3 linked regions of the Macaca mulatta genome follow. The protein of the gene in region 2 interacts with the protein of the main gene of each other region in a biochemical or structural test. Links are inferred from orthologs where the notes say so. Each region holds a gene or a part of one and is shown on either strand. Other genes may lie near its edges. The genes, in order: UBE2G2, MARCHF6 and UBE2J2.

Evidence for each region.
Region 1: the proteins of MARCHF6 (region 2) and UBE2G2 form a complex in vitro, tested with the Homo sapiens proteins (2 studies listed by BioGRID). The link is inferred for Macaca mulatta from reciprocal best matches to the Homo sapiens genes MARCHF6 and UBE2G2.
Region 3: the proteins of MARCHF6 (region 2) and UBE2J2 form a complex in vitro, tested with the Homo sapiens proteins (2 studies listed by BioGRID, with this or other methods). The link is inferred for Macaca mulatta from reciprocal best matches to the Homo sapiens genes MARCHF6 and UBE2J2.

The regions. Positions count from the first base shown.
Region 1 is NC_133408.1:2,750,119-2,753,693, forward strand, and holds part of UBE2G2 (ubiquitin-conjugating enzyme E2 G2), read left to right. Parts: intron 1-1,098; coding exon 1,099-1,217; intron 1,218-3,575. UniProt on the Homo sapiens protein: Accepts ubiquitin from the E1 complex and catalyzes its covalent attachment to other proteins. In vitro catalyzes 'Lys-48'-linked polyubiquitination. Involved in endoplasmic reticulum-associated degradation (ERAD).
Region 2 is NC_133411.1:11,499,342-11,503,622, reverse strand, and holds the start of MARCHF6 (E3 ubiquitin-protein ligase MARCHF6), read right to left. Parts: upstream 2,821-4,281; 5' UTR 2,814-2,820; coding exon 2,795-2,813; intron 2,595-2,794; exon of another isoform or gene 2,041-2,594; intron 1-2,040. UniProt on the Homo sapiens protein: Endoplasmic reticulum membrane-associated E3 ubiquitin ligase that plays a critical role in mitigating endoplasmic reticulum stress, the regulation of cholesterol and lipid homeostasis, and ferroptosis.
Region 3 is NC_133406.1:239,412,348-239,416,509, reverse strand, and holds the start of UBE2J2 (ubiquitin-conjugating enzyme E2 J2), read right to left. Parts: upstream 2,823-4,162; 5' UTR 2,643-2,822; intron 1,973-2,642; exon of another isoform or gene 1,829-1,972; intron 1-1,828. UniProt on the Homo sapiens protein: Catalyzes the covalent attachment of ubiquitin to other proteins. Seems to function in the selective degradation of misfolded membrane proteins from the endoplasmic reticulum (ERAD).

The sequences.
Region 1 (3,575 bases), on a different chromosome or scaffold from region 2:
GTTAAGATAGTGTTAATTTATACTTGTTGGGTTTTAAACCTTAAGCAGGATTTCTGAAATGGTTTCATCTATTTCTTCCATTTACTTGTGAGGAAAGTATAGGTCCAGGGAGACTCACATGCCTGTGTCTGTGCCCATGACGGGGAGTTGTTCTAGTGTTGCATCAGTGGGATAAGGCATGACACGTGGTCCTGCAGTTGCGGCCTGGAGTGGTGGTACCTGTGTGCCTAGCCTTTCACCTAGCATGCAGCAGTGATCACATGTGCTCTTCATCTGCTTCTTGAAGGTTGCAAAGATGCCTTCTTGGGCACGTTTAAAAATTAAAAATCACCTTTAAAATACAACTCTTAGCCCCTTATCTGTTGAAATACAATGGAATCTTGCTATATCCTTTGCCGTAATTCATACCCTTATCCTAAAATGTGATTGTACCACATCTGCAGAAAAAGCTCCCAGATCTTAGAGCATTGACATGAGTTATTTTCTCTGATCCCCTAATTATCAAGAGGTTTTGCTGCTCAACTCTTAACCTTTATAAATGTGCAAACTGCCTGTAACTCAGTCTTTGTACTTGTACTTAAGATTTAGACCAGATTGAAATAGGAGAATGAGACATTGCTTTCAGTTGAGGAAAAAAGTACCAATTCATTGTCATTTAGATAATCTTTTCATGTGCATTTTTATTATTATTATTAATTTTTATTTTTGTTTATTTTTTGAGACAGAGTCTCGCTCTGTCACCCAGGCTTGAGTGCAGTGGTGCAGTCTTGGCTCACCACCTCCCAGGCTCAGACGATTCTCCTGCCTCAGCCTCCCTAGTAGCTGGGATTACAGGCATTCGCCACCACACCCAGCTAATTTTTGTATTTTTAGTAGAGACGGGTTTCACCATGTTGGCCAGGCTGGTCTCGAACTCCTGACCTCAGATGATCTGCCCGCCTCGGCCTCCCAAAGTGCTGGAATTACAGGCGTGAGGCACCGCGCCCGGCCTCATGTGCATTTTTAAAGTGGTAAAAATGTTCTTAACCCATTTCTCAGTTGTGGTCGATGTTGAAAAATGTACTTTGAAGTTCAGTCTACATATTTGATATCTTCTAGGGGCCCAGAAGACACCTGCTTTGAGTTTGGCGTTTTTCCTGCCATCCTGAGTTTCCCACTTGATTACCCGTTAAGTCCCCCAAAGATGAGATTTACCTGTGAGATGTTTCATCCTAACAGTAAGTGCTTTTGGAAGTAGTTTTTGTGGTACCAAGATAGGTGCAGAGATAATCTTATCAACCACTTGAAATGTGGTATATTCTATGTGTCTATGATGTAGATCTTTAGAAAACACTTCTTAGGTTTTGAAATTCAGCCAGGTAAGCATGGTGGTATTAAACACATGATTTCAATTTTGAAGGTCAGTTTAATGTAGATAAAAGAAAACTGGATGCCATTTGACCAGCCACCCTACTTCACTGGGGAGGAAGTTTTACTTGTGGGTGTGTGCTCAGAAGGGGTTATGCTAATCTTTGTCATAGTGTTATTTTTAATGGTGAAAATTTTGACTTAACCTGGGTTTTTAACACAAGAATAAATTAAGTTATATGTTGTATTAGTCTGTTCTCACGCTGTTAATAAAGACATATTCAAGACTGGGTAATTTATAAAGGAAAGAGATTTAATGGACTCAGAATTACACATGGCTGGGGAGACCTCACAATCATGGCAGAAGGCAAAGGAGAAGCAAAGGCACATCTTAGTGGTGGCAGGCAAGAGAGTGTGTGCAGGGAAACTGCTTTTTATAAAACCATCAGATCTCGTGAGACTTATGCACTATCACGAGAACAGCACGGGAAAGGTGTGCCTCCATGATTTAGTACCTCCCTCTGGGTCACTCCCATGACATGTGGGAATTATGGGAGCTACAATTCAAGATGAGATTTGGGTGGGGACACAGCCAAACCATATCGTATATGTTAGAATGTGATGTAGATTTTTAAAATGATCTAAAATAAGAATCAATAAAACAAAATAATATTTGTGTTATATTGACTGGGAAAAGCAGTAGGACTGTTGTAATTTCCTCTTGAAAAATAAATTTACATGTAAATGTATATATAATTGGAAAAGTAAGCACAAAAATGTTAAGTGATTCTTTTTTCAGATTGAAATTATTTTTTCCTTTTTATAAATCTTTTTTTGCCCTAAAATTAATATACATTACTTTTACAAGGAGGAAAAAAATAAGGTCATTTAAGTGAATTGTACTGTAGCTATTTGAAAATGTGTCCAGTAGTAGGAATTGGAATTCCTGAACAACTGTAGTTTTTATTTCTTCCTTTTACATTTGGGGATTATACGTAAGAGAATTAATAAGGAAATATGTTATATCTTCAATGATGTTATTTAGAATAATGTTTCTTATAAATGATTATTATTGCCGCTGATAATCACGATCTTAATAGCTATAGAGAAGAAAAGCAAATAAAGTATCCTATTTTGCAAAAATGAAATATTTATTTGAAACAAATTTCTTATTGTATGCATATCAAAGAGCATGAGAGAATTTATAGAATTTTCTGAGCCTCTGACTTCTCTCTGGGGTTAAAATGGAATCCCTTTGGTATACTTTCCCCTTGTCTACACCTGTCTAGGCAGAGCCCTACTCGAACTCCTCTTTGCCATAGGGGTTTTCAGGACTGTCCCCCGACGCCCCCGCCACTTCCCTCGTGGAAATGCCCTCTGCTGTTAGACTTGCTGTCCTAACCCTCATTAAGGACTTCTCATTTACTGCAGATATTGGTACGCATAGGTAGTGGGTGGCCGTCTGAGAAAGACCATCTGGTACTTCTTTTCTTGTCTCAGAGCTACTTCAGTCTTGTGTGCACAGGAGATGCTCAGAAGCCTGCCTTTCTTTCAGGGAGACTGGCCATGAGCCTGAGTTAAATGGTAACATGGAGGTTCATCATATGCTGTCTACTCAAGTGTGTTTTTGGAATTCTCCATAATAAAAAGTTAAAAAATAAAATTGATAGGTAAGAGTAATTGAAGTAGTCAGTTTCAAGTTGGTTGGCTGTAAAATGCAACTGTGAAGAGGATTGTAGGTAATTAAGATACTAAAATTGTATTGAGGATAAATATATTATTCAGAACAATACCTGTGATGTGGCATTAGTGACAAATATGACCAATAAACTGATTACATTATGTGACTATGTACTGCAGGTGGTCTGATTATTATTTTTAGTGTTCTAGTAATTATTATTATTATTTTTTTTTGAGACGGAGTCTTGCTCTGTCACCCAGGCTGGAGTGCGGTGGCCGGATCTCTGCTCACTGCAAGCTCCGCCTCCCGGGTTTACGCCATTCTCCTGGCTCAGCCTCCCGAGTAGCTGGGACTACAGGCGCTCGCCACCTCGCCCGGCTAGTTTTTTGTACTTTTTAGTAGAGACGGGGTTTCACCGTGTTAGCCAGGATGGTCTCGATCTCCTGACCTCGTGATCCGCCCGTCTCAGCCTCCCAAAGTGCTAGGATTACAGGCTTGAGCCACCGCGCCCGGCCTCTAGTAATTATTTTTAATGCTCAGATAATAC
Region 2 (4,281 bases):
GTTGGTGTTTTTGTAACATTATTCTTAATCTCTTTGCGTGGAATATTAAAATATATTTTTAAAGGGCAGAGAACCGGCCAGGAACGGTGGCTTATGCCCATAATTCCAGCATTTTGGGAGGCTGAGGCAGGCAGATCACCTGAGGTCAGGAGTTCGAGATCAGTCTGGCCAACATGGCAAAACCCCATCTCTACTAAAAATACAAAAATTAGCAGGGAGAGGTGGCACGCTCCTGTAATCCCAGTTACTCAGGAGTCTGAGACAGAAGAATTGCTTGAACCCAGGAAGTGGAGGTTGCAGTGAGCTGACATCACACCACTGCACTCCAGCCTGGGCGACAGAGCAAGACTCCGTCTCAGAAAACAAAAAAAATAAATAAAAAACAGAACCACAACAGCATTAGTGTTTTCAAAAGTAGGTGATACTGATTTTTTTTCAATTTAGTTTTATGTTTGGCCATATTTTGAATATCTCCTACCAAAAAATAACAGATTTTAAAAACCTAAGTTGCATTTTTTAAAGAAATAATCTATAATAACTGATTTCGCAAATAGAACATTTATTAGTTTTTTGGCATCTTCACTCTATTATTTTTAATCCTCTATAACCCTCCCTTTTCCTTTAAGTGTTATTTCAACTTAAATTTTATCGTAAAAATGTCAGAAGACTTCCAAATTGGAATTTTGCAAAAGCAGGCATGAGAATACAGCACTAAAATTCACTTGCATTTCATGACTACTAATTTCATAAAATAAAGCAAAATAAAATTTTCGCCAAATTATAAAAATGATCCATCCTATAGAGGGAGTGACAAAAATAAATTCCAACATTGGACATTTAGTATCCACTTATAAATAAATATCTAATTTAAGTGCAGAGTCTGACAGACATGAGCTTGAATCGTGCCTCTGCCATTTACTACCTGTATAATCTTGGACAAGTTACTTAATCATACTAACCATCAGTTCCCTCATCTGTAAAATGAAAATGCCGCCTACTTAACGATGTTGACAGAATTAAATGAAATGTATATAAAGTGTTTAGTAAAGCATATTCTACCCGTTGAGTCTTCAGCACATGTTATTTTAACAGAGAACAGTGTTCAACAAATAAATGTCATGTATACCTTATCCTGATTATAATTTTACAAGAGAAAAAATATATTTAAGCACTAGAAGTACAATGAAAATATTTCATGATTCCATACGTGCTTCGAGCGCAATTCCTGAATTACCATAGGTTACTGTCACACCATAAAAGTATGCAAGTAGCAATGCCCAGGCCAAAAGAATGAGAATTGAATATAATACGTCCGTACTTATCCTGTGATAAATGCATGCCTTAGTAGATTTATTCATTAAAACTTGAATCTGAAAGGATGTGAAACCTACATAGATGGAAATTTTACACAAAGGACCACCTGTCAAAAAGAAATAGTTCCCAACCTTCAGCAGTTTCGCTTTACTATTTTTTCCAAAGGCGTCTCCAGTGGCGATTAGCTACACTCAGTGTATATAATAAACATACTGTGGCATAATGAAAGGGAAATTATTTGCAATCAGAATGCCTACATTCAAATCTGTCTCTTACTACCTGTGTAAAGCTTCGACAAGCTATTAAAACAACGAAGCCTACATTTCAACATCTATAAAAGATAATACCTACCTATTCCACAGGCCTTTTGGGAAGATCAAACGCGAATGTACAGCAAGTGCCACATGTTATAGTTGAGGTTTTTATTAAAGGCAAGACTTCTTTTAAAAAAATAAGTCGTTATCAACTCATTACAGAGATATTATCAAACTTTTTTCACTCATTACTGCACCCCATGACGGCGTCTGATAATTCATTTTCATTTAAAATTGCCAAAATCACAACCTATAAGGTTGAAAGACGCTTATACCCCCCATAAATATACCTAAAGTAGAAAAGCATTTGCACCGATAACCGGAACATCAAAAAAGGCAGAATAATTTAGTAATTTCCTCTATAAACTCACCACTCATTTAAAAACACAGCTGGTTAAAAATAATTTACTACCTTCAGTGGGTAAGAAAATGCGCTTGAAGAGACATAAGGTGTGGACGTTTACATCTTAGGTATTCATTGTAGAAGGGTCAGTTTGTTCAAAGTAACCGTATCCAACAGGCAATCGCAAAACAAAACCAAGAGAACCCTGCTTATAGGTGTCAAGGATTTAAAACCAAATGGATCGCAACAAAAGAGCCCCCCCTCCGTTTAGTAAACAGATTCTCGAGCTGCAGGCTAGCCGAGGACCGGGCTTTTCAATAGGGGTCAGCTCACTCCACTCGGCAGTCACCTGGCGGGGTATTTTTCGCGAAGTTTCAAAGTCAACAAAGAAGTTCTGTGGCGAGGGGGTAGGGCCTGGCGAGCAATAGGCAGAAGGACGTAAAGAAAGACAAAACCCAGTGGGGGAAGGGTGCGGAAAACGCCCCCGGACGGCAGCGGCAGCGACAGCGGCCCCCTCTTCTGGGCCAGCGCGCGACGGCGGGGACGAGGGAGGCCACGCCGGCCCGGAGCAGCCACGACGCCCCAGGACCCGGGCCCGGCCCGGCAGGGTCCCCGCCCCCCTCGGCGGCGCGGGCGGGAAACGGCTGGGGGCGCGCCGAGGGTCACCTTCCGCTCCCCGGACCAGAGGCCCCGCGGGTGGGCAAACGGCCCAGGCGCCCGCCCTGCCGCGCTCCAGCCGCCCACCTCGAGCGCCGCGGACCTGGCCGGGGCACGAACCCGGGAGCCGACGCAAGGGCTCGGGCGCCGCGCGTCGCCGACTTACCTTCCTCCGCGGTGTCCATCTTGTCTGGGGGGGTGGCGGTGACGCAGCCACGAGCTCCCGCGGCCGGGCGGGGAAAGAGGGCGGGGAGGAGGAGGAGGGAGCCGGGCCCGGGCAGGTGCGTGCGCTCAGGTGCGAGAGAGGAAGCGAGAGGAAGGAGAGGGGAGAGGGAGAGGGAGAGAGGCTGACAGAAAGCGAACCACAAGGGAGGGGGAGGGGCGGGAACACCTAGGGGCGAGGCCTGGGCGGGGCGCCGAGGCGGAAGGGGCGGGAGCTCCCCAACGACAGACAGTGTCACTTCCGGCGGCCGCGGTGCGCACGCTCGGTTGTAGGCTAAGGCGGGGAAGGACCTTTTTCGGGGGTGCGGTGAATCACCGCGTGCTCTGGGCCACCTGGGGTAGTCGCCGAGAATGCGCCGGACAGCGGGGCCGAAACCTAATCAGTAGCTGAGCTTTGGTGACCGCTTCTGGAGGGGCGCAGAGCAGTGGGAAGAGGCCGCGAGAACCTAGCGCCCGCCCCAGCCGACGTGCGAGACAAAGGCTACGGCGCGGGGCTCTTCGGGAGGCCGGGAGGTGCCTGTGACAATGCGAGTCTGCGCTCCACGCTCCCGCACCGCGATGCCGAGGCCGAATGGCTAGAGTGGGCCCAGGCGTCAGCATTTCTGTTTGGCACCCGGGCCGTTGTGGTGCACGTTTTGAGGAACTACTAAAGCCTCACTGTGATGAAAAAGGCAAACGCTGACTTCACCAAAATTACTCCCAGGGAGACTTCTGCATTTGGCTGGAAGGACTATTTGAGTAAACCGCTGAGGCTGGGGGTTGAAACATAATCCTCCTTTAAGGGAGATCTGTTCGGATACCGAGTTAGGGACGCTTGCCTGCGCAGAGCTAAGGGAAGAACGGTCCTAGGCCAAGCTCTGTCCCCATCAGCACGTCACCCTCCCTCACTGTAATCCTTGACTGTTTCTCTAAATGAAGAATTATTTAGAGAATACAAATTAGAAGGGCCGCCAAGTCAGAATTGCCTGAGCGGGAGCAGTCTTTCCAGCCTCGAAAAATGTTTAAACAATATGCAGATGACCTAGCACAAATAAAGAATGCTAGCAACCGCTGTTATGTGTGAGTGGTGAAATTGGGAGGGCCCCTCCCGCAATCTTCATCAAATAGAATAAGGTTTAGAATAAAAATAATGAAATACAGTTTTTCAAAAAGAGCAGCGCTTGACTAATGTTTACTGATGTCACTCATGTTACTCAAGGCAGGAAAGAACTCTACATAATAGGGACCCACTGATTTCAGGGGCTGGCCCTGATGATTAAGCAGACAGCCATTCTTTAAATTTGTTTTTTGTTGTTGTTTGCTTATGTTTTTTTTTTCTTTTTTTGAGAAGAGGTCTCGCATCGTCACCCAGGCAGGAATGCAGTGGTGCGATAGTGGCTCACTGCAGTCTCACTATGTTGACCAGTATGATTTCGAACTCCTGTCTTCAAG
Region 3 (4,162 bases), on a different chromosome or scaffold from region 2:
ACTGCTGCTTCCCAGCCTAGACTCTACTGGAAACTCCCCTAGGCCCTTCCGGGCCACCGCCTTCAGAGGCCTCCCTGATTTCCCTGCCAAATGCCTCCCACTCTGTCACACATCACTGGCCTCCATGTGACCCCACACACCACGCAGGGCCCTTTCGGGCCCCAGCAGAGGCAAGGGCGGGCTCCTCTGCCTAAGGAGTGCCTCCCCAGGAGGGCCCTCACCAGGAACGGGGTTCTAGTCCTGCCCGGGAAGGAAGTGCTCCACACAGTGGCATCCCCAGCTCCTGGCTCAAGAAGCCAATGGGCCAGGGATCTCCCCTCAGGCCAACACCTGGTGATGGACACAGCGATGACCCCAAGCAGCACTCTACACAGGCCGTCCTTTCAAACGCTCACCCTGAAGCTAACACTCTGCCATATACAAAATAATTCACTGGACAATTCAGGTACAGGTGTGTCTGGGCTTAGCTAAGTGGCCAGGCTGCGGGTTTAATGAAAGGTCATGGACAGCCACGCAAAAATAAAATAGATTCCATCAAGTCAGTCACAAGCAAGCTTCCCTCCCATACTTGCTTGGAGAGGCTTTTAAAATCATGTTCACGATTCAACTGCTGTTTCCCCAGACACCCTTCCTGAGCTTCACACAGAACAGCGTTCTCACGTCCCCCAAGGCGCCAGGGGGCGACTTCCCCCAATTCATCTCCTCCCAATATGACAGCAGGAAGGACAAGGAAAATAAAAATCCACAAAGGGGCTGGGCATGGTAGCTCACACCTGTAATCCCAGCACTTTGGGAGGCCGAGGTGGGCGGATCACCTGAGGTCGGGAGTTCGAGACCAGCCTGACCAACATGGTAAAACCCTGTCTCTACTAAAAATACAAAATTAGTCAGGTGTGCTGGCAAATGCCTATAATCCCAGCTACTCGGGTGGCTGAGACAGGAGTATCGCTTGAATCCAGGAGGTGGAGGTTGTGGTGAGCTGAGATCACGCCATTGCACTCCAGCCCGGGCAACAAGAGCGAAACTCCATCTCAAAAAAAAAAAAAAAAATTAGCCGGGTGTGGTGGTGGGCACCTGTAATCCCAGCTACTCTGGAGGCTGAGGTGGGAGAATTACTTGAACTCCGGAGCCGGACACTGCAGTGAACTGAGATCATGCCACTGCACTCTAGCCAGGGAAACAGAGACCCTGTCTCCAAAAAAAAAAAAAAAAAAATCCACAAAGGAAGCAAACTGTGAGAACAGAGTTTGAAGCATATGTGCCTCAGGTTCCCTTCAAACATCCCCACAGACAAGGGACACCAAGCACATCATCCTGCTGAGAGAAAGAGTTGGCGATTTTAAAACAAAAAGGTACAGAAAAAAAACGTTTACACGGAAACTGCATAAAAGCAGCGTGAATCACCGAGGGCAGCTGTGCCCAGGCGCTGAGACAGTGGCTGCCCAGCAGCTCTCACCCATCCCTCTTTGTCTGGACAGCTCTTTCCTGCTTAGGGATGTGGCAGGAAACCTTGGCCTGACCCATCTGCCAGGCGCGTGGCACGCCCAGGTCCAGGACTGCCACGGAAGTCTCTGCCTTCTCCACCAGACTGCTCCGAAGGCTGGATGGAAGCCCGGGCCGATGGAGGTGGGACACTCACCTGTAACGCACACATGCACCTGCCTGGCTCACCTGCCTGTCACTCACACATGTACCTGCCTAGAGCGGAGCTGCTAAGGAGGTCAGCGGTGCCAGGCCGAGCAGATGACGGACTGTGAGTTCCGGGCACCCAGACCCAACCACGCCCTAGGCTCAGGTGCTGGACTTTTGGATTAAGCGAGATACTCACTTCTTCGGAAGCCAGATTACACCGTCTGTTTCCCCTGGGGCAGGACGCGGGGCCACCGACCTGCCCCAGCCAAGCCTGCTGTACGCTCCTCGCTGCCCTCCCACCGGGCTGAGGCCCGACCTTTCAGCCGCTTCCTATCTGGGTCTGGCAAGAGGGTGGCAACCGGACTTGAGTTAAATACACACGCACTAAGTGGCAAGCATTGAAAAGGAGGCCAGGAGGTGACACCTAGCCAGGGGCTGAGAGGGTGCAGGGAATTGGCAGGTGTGGACGGCGAGGCCCGGCGCAGCTCAGGGACTTGTTCCGGGCTCGTGTCTTACTCCCGCCGGCCGGCGGTGGAGCCAGACTCCGGTCTCCCACTGTCACCGCCCGGGCTTCCCAGAAACGCTGGCCCCGAGCACCGTCCCGGGCACGCTCGTTTCTCTCGTGCCTCTCGGGGCAGTGTGGGGTCTAACAGTTCAGGGCGAGGCGGCGGCGGGCTCAACGGCAGCCCTCCCCCGACACAGACTCCCGGGATCCATTGACAAACCAGGATCGAGGCTGCCCGTCCTGGGGCAGCCGCAAGTGTCCCAACGGACGGGAGACCCGGCCTAGTGGTCAAGTCCCCGACCTGACCCTGACCCGGAGCTCCGGGAGCCCGCCGTAACCGACCTCGGGTTCCGCGCAGGCTCGGGCCAGGGCCCCGCGGGCGGCGGGCGCGAACGGAGAAGCGTCGCGCAGGGTCCCCCGCAGCCCCGGGCCGCCGCTGTGGCCGGCTCCGGCGGGGCGGTCGAGCGGGCCCGAGGACCCGGCGCAGGCCAGCGAGCGCGCTCACCTCTCCCTGTCGCTGCGCGTGGGCCGCCGCCGCGCTCAGGCTCGCCGTGGTCGAGGCCGGAGCAGGGTGCGGAAAAGCGGGGCCCGCGCCCGAAACAGCCACACCGCGCCGGGACTGGGCCCACCGAACCCGTCGCAGGGCCGCCGCCGCCTCAACCTCCAAGATGGCCGCTCGCGGGGCGGAACCAGCCTAGTTTCTGCTTCCGGTGCGCGTTCCCTGGGGGGCGGGGCGCCGCTCTAGGCAGCCTGGAGGACCGCGCCCACGACTCTCTGTCGCCGCCGGCGCCGGTCGGGGGAGGGCGGGGCGGTCGGCGCGTGCGCACTGGCGGGCGGCTGCGGGCACCGTTAGTGGGCGCGAAAGCCCCGGACCCCGAAGCCGCGCGCTTACGTCCCCACGTGCCACGGCCCAGGGCGGCAGGCCCGGCTGAGGGCGACCCCGGTGGAGAAAGGACCCCGACCCTCCCGCCTTGTCCTCCGCTCCCACACCCTGCCCGGCCCTTAGGGGAGGCGCGGCGCGGCGCGGCCCCGGCGTGGAGCGTCCCGGGCGCCTGGAGGCCTGGCTCGTTCAGGGACCCGAGAGTGACACGCGTGGGATCGCTTTGCAACCCACGTCCGCGCCCCAGCACCCTCTCCTGCGGGAGCCTTCCCAGCCCCGGGACGCCCCCGCCCCAGCACCCTCCCCCTGCAGGTGCCTGGCCCAGTGCCGGGACGCCCCGACCTCCCTCTGGACAGACTTTAGAAAGCGCGGGGCGCTGCGTCCTTTCCACCTCTCTCTGACCCCAGACACATTGGGAGGGAGCTGTAGGTGGCCGGGCGCTGGGGTGGGACGCTAAGGGCAGGCACACAACCCACCGCCTCCCCGAGAGGCAGCTAAGGACAGCGGGGAGCTGAGGGTGGTCCCCTGGTGGGGGATTGGGAGGTGGACCTCGCCACCTGGCTGCCTGTGGCCCTGTCCTTTGCCCCAACCCTGATGGCCTCTCAGAGACAACCACAGGTCAGCAAGGTGGCTGAACACTGAGGGTGGGTCCCGCTGTGGCTACGGGCAGAGGGCAGTCTGTGTCCATGCTCAGCCTGACTCTGCCCCTCCGAGACACCTTGGTGGGGGTCTGAGACGCTGCTGCAGCTCCTGGGGCAGAAGCCAGGAGGAATGTCCACACAGCCTCAGCCCGTGGGAATCCAGCCTGCCTCCATTCCTGACGTCACAGGCACCACCTTTGGAAAACAGCTCAGCATCCAGCCTCCTTCCTCTGCCTCCTCTCAGGCCTCTGCCGTTCCCAGGCAGGGCGGGCCGAGCTGGTTTTACAGCATGGAAAGTTATGTAAGGGAAGCCACACCGGCCGCAGATACAGGCACCAGCACGTCCACTCGCTTGCACGCTCACGGCTGTGGCCCGTGGCAGATGGAGGCCCGCCCTGCCTTGTTTGTCCTTCAGTAGTGTGTGATGAGAGCGCACCTTTGGGGACTCTGCAGGTGGGAAGGTGGCAGTGAGGCTCAGCTCAGAGGATCCTGCTCAGGAGCATG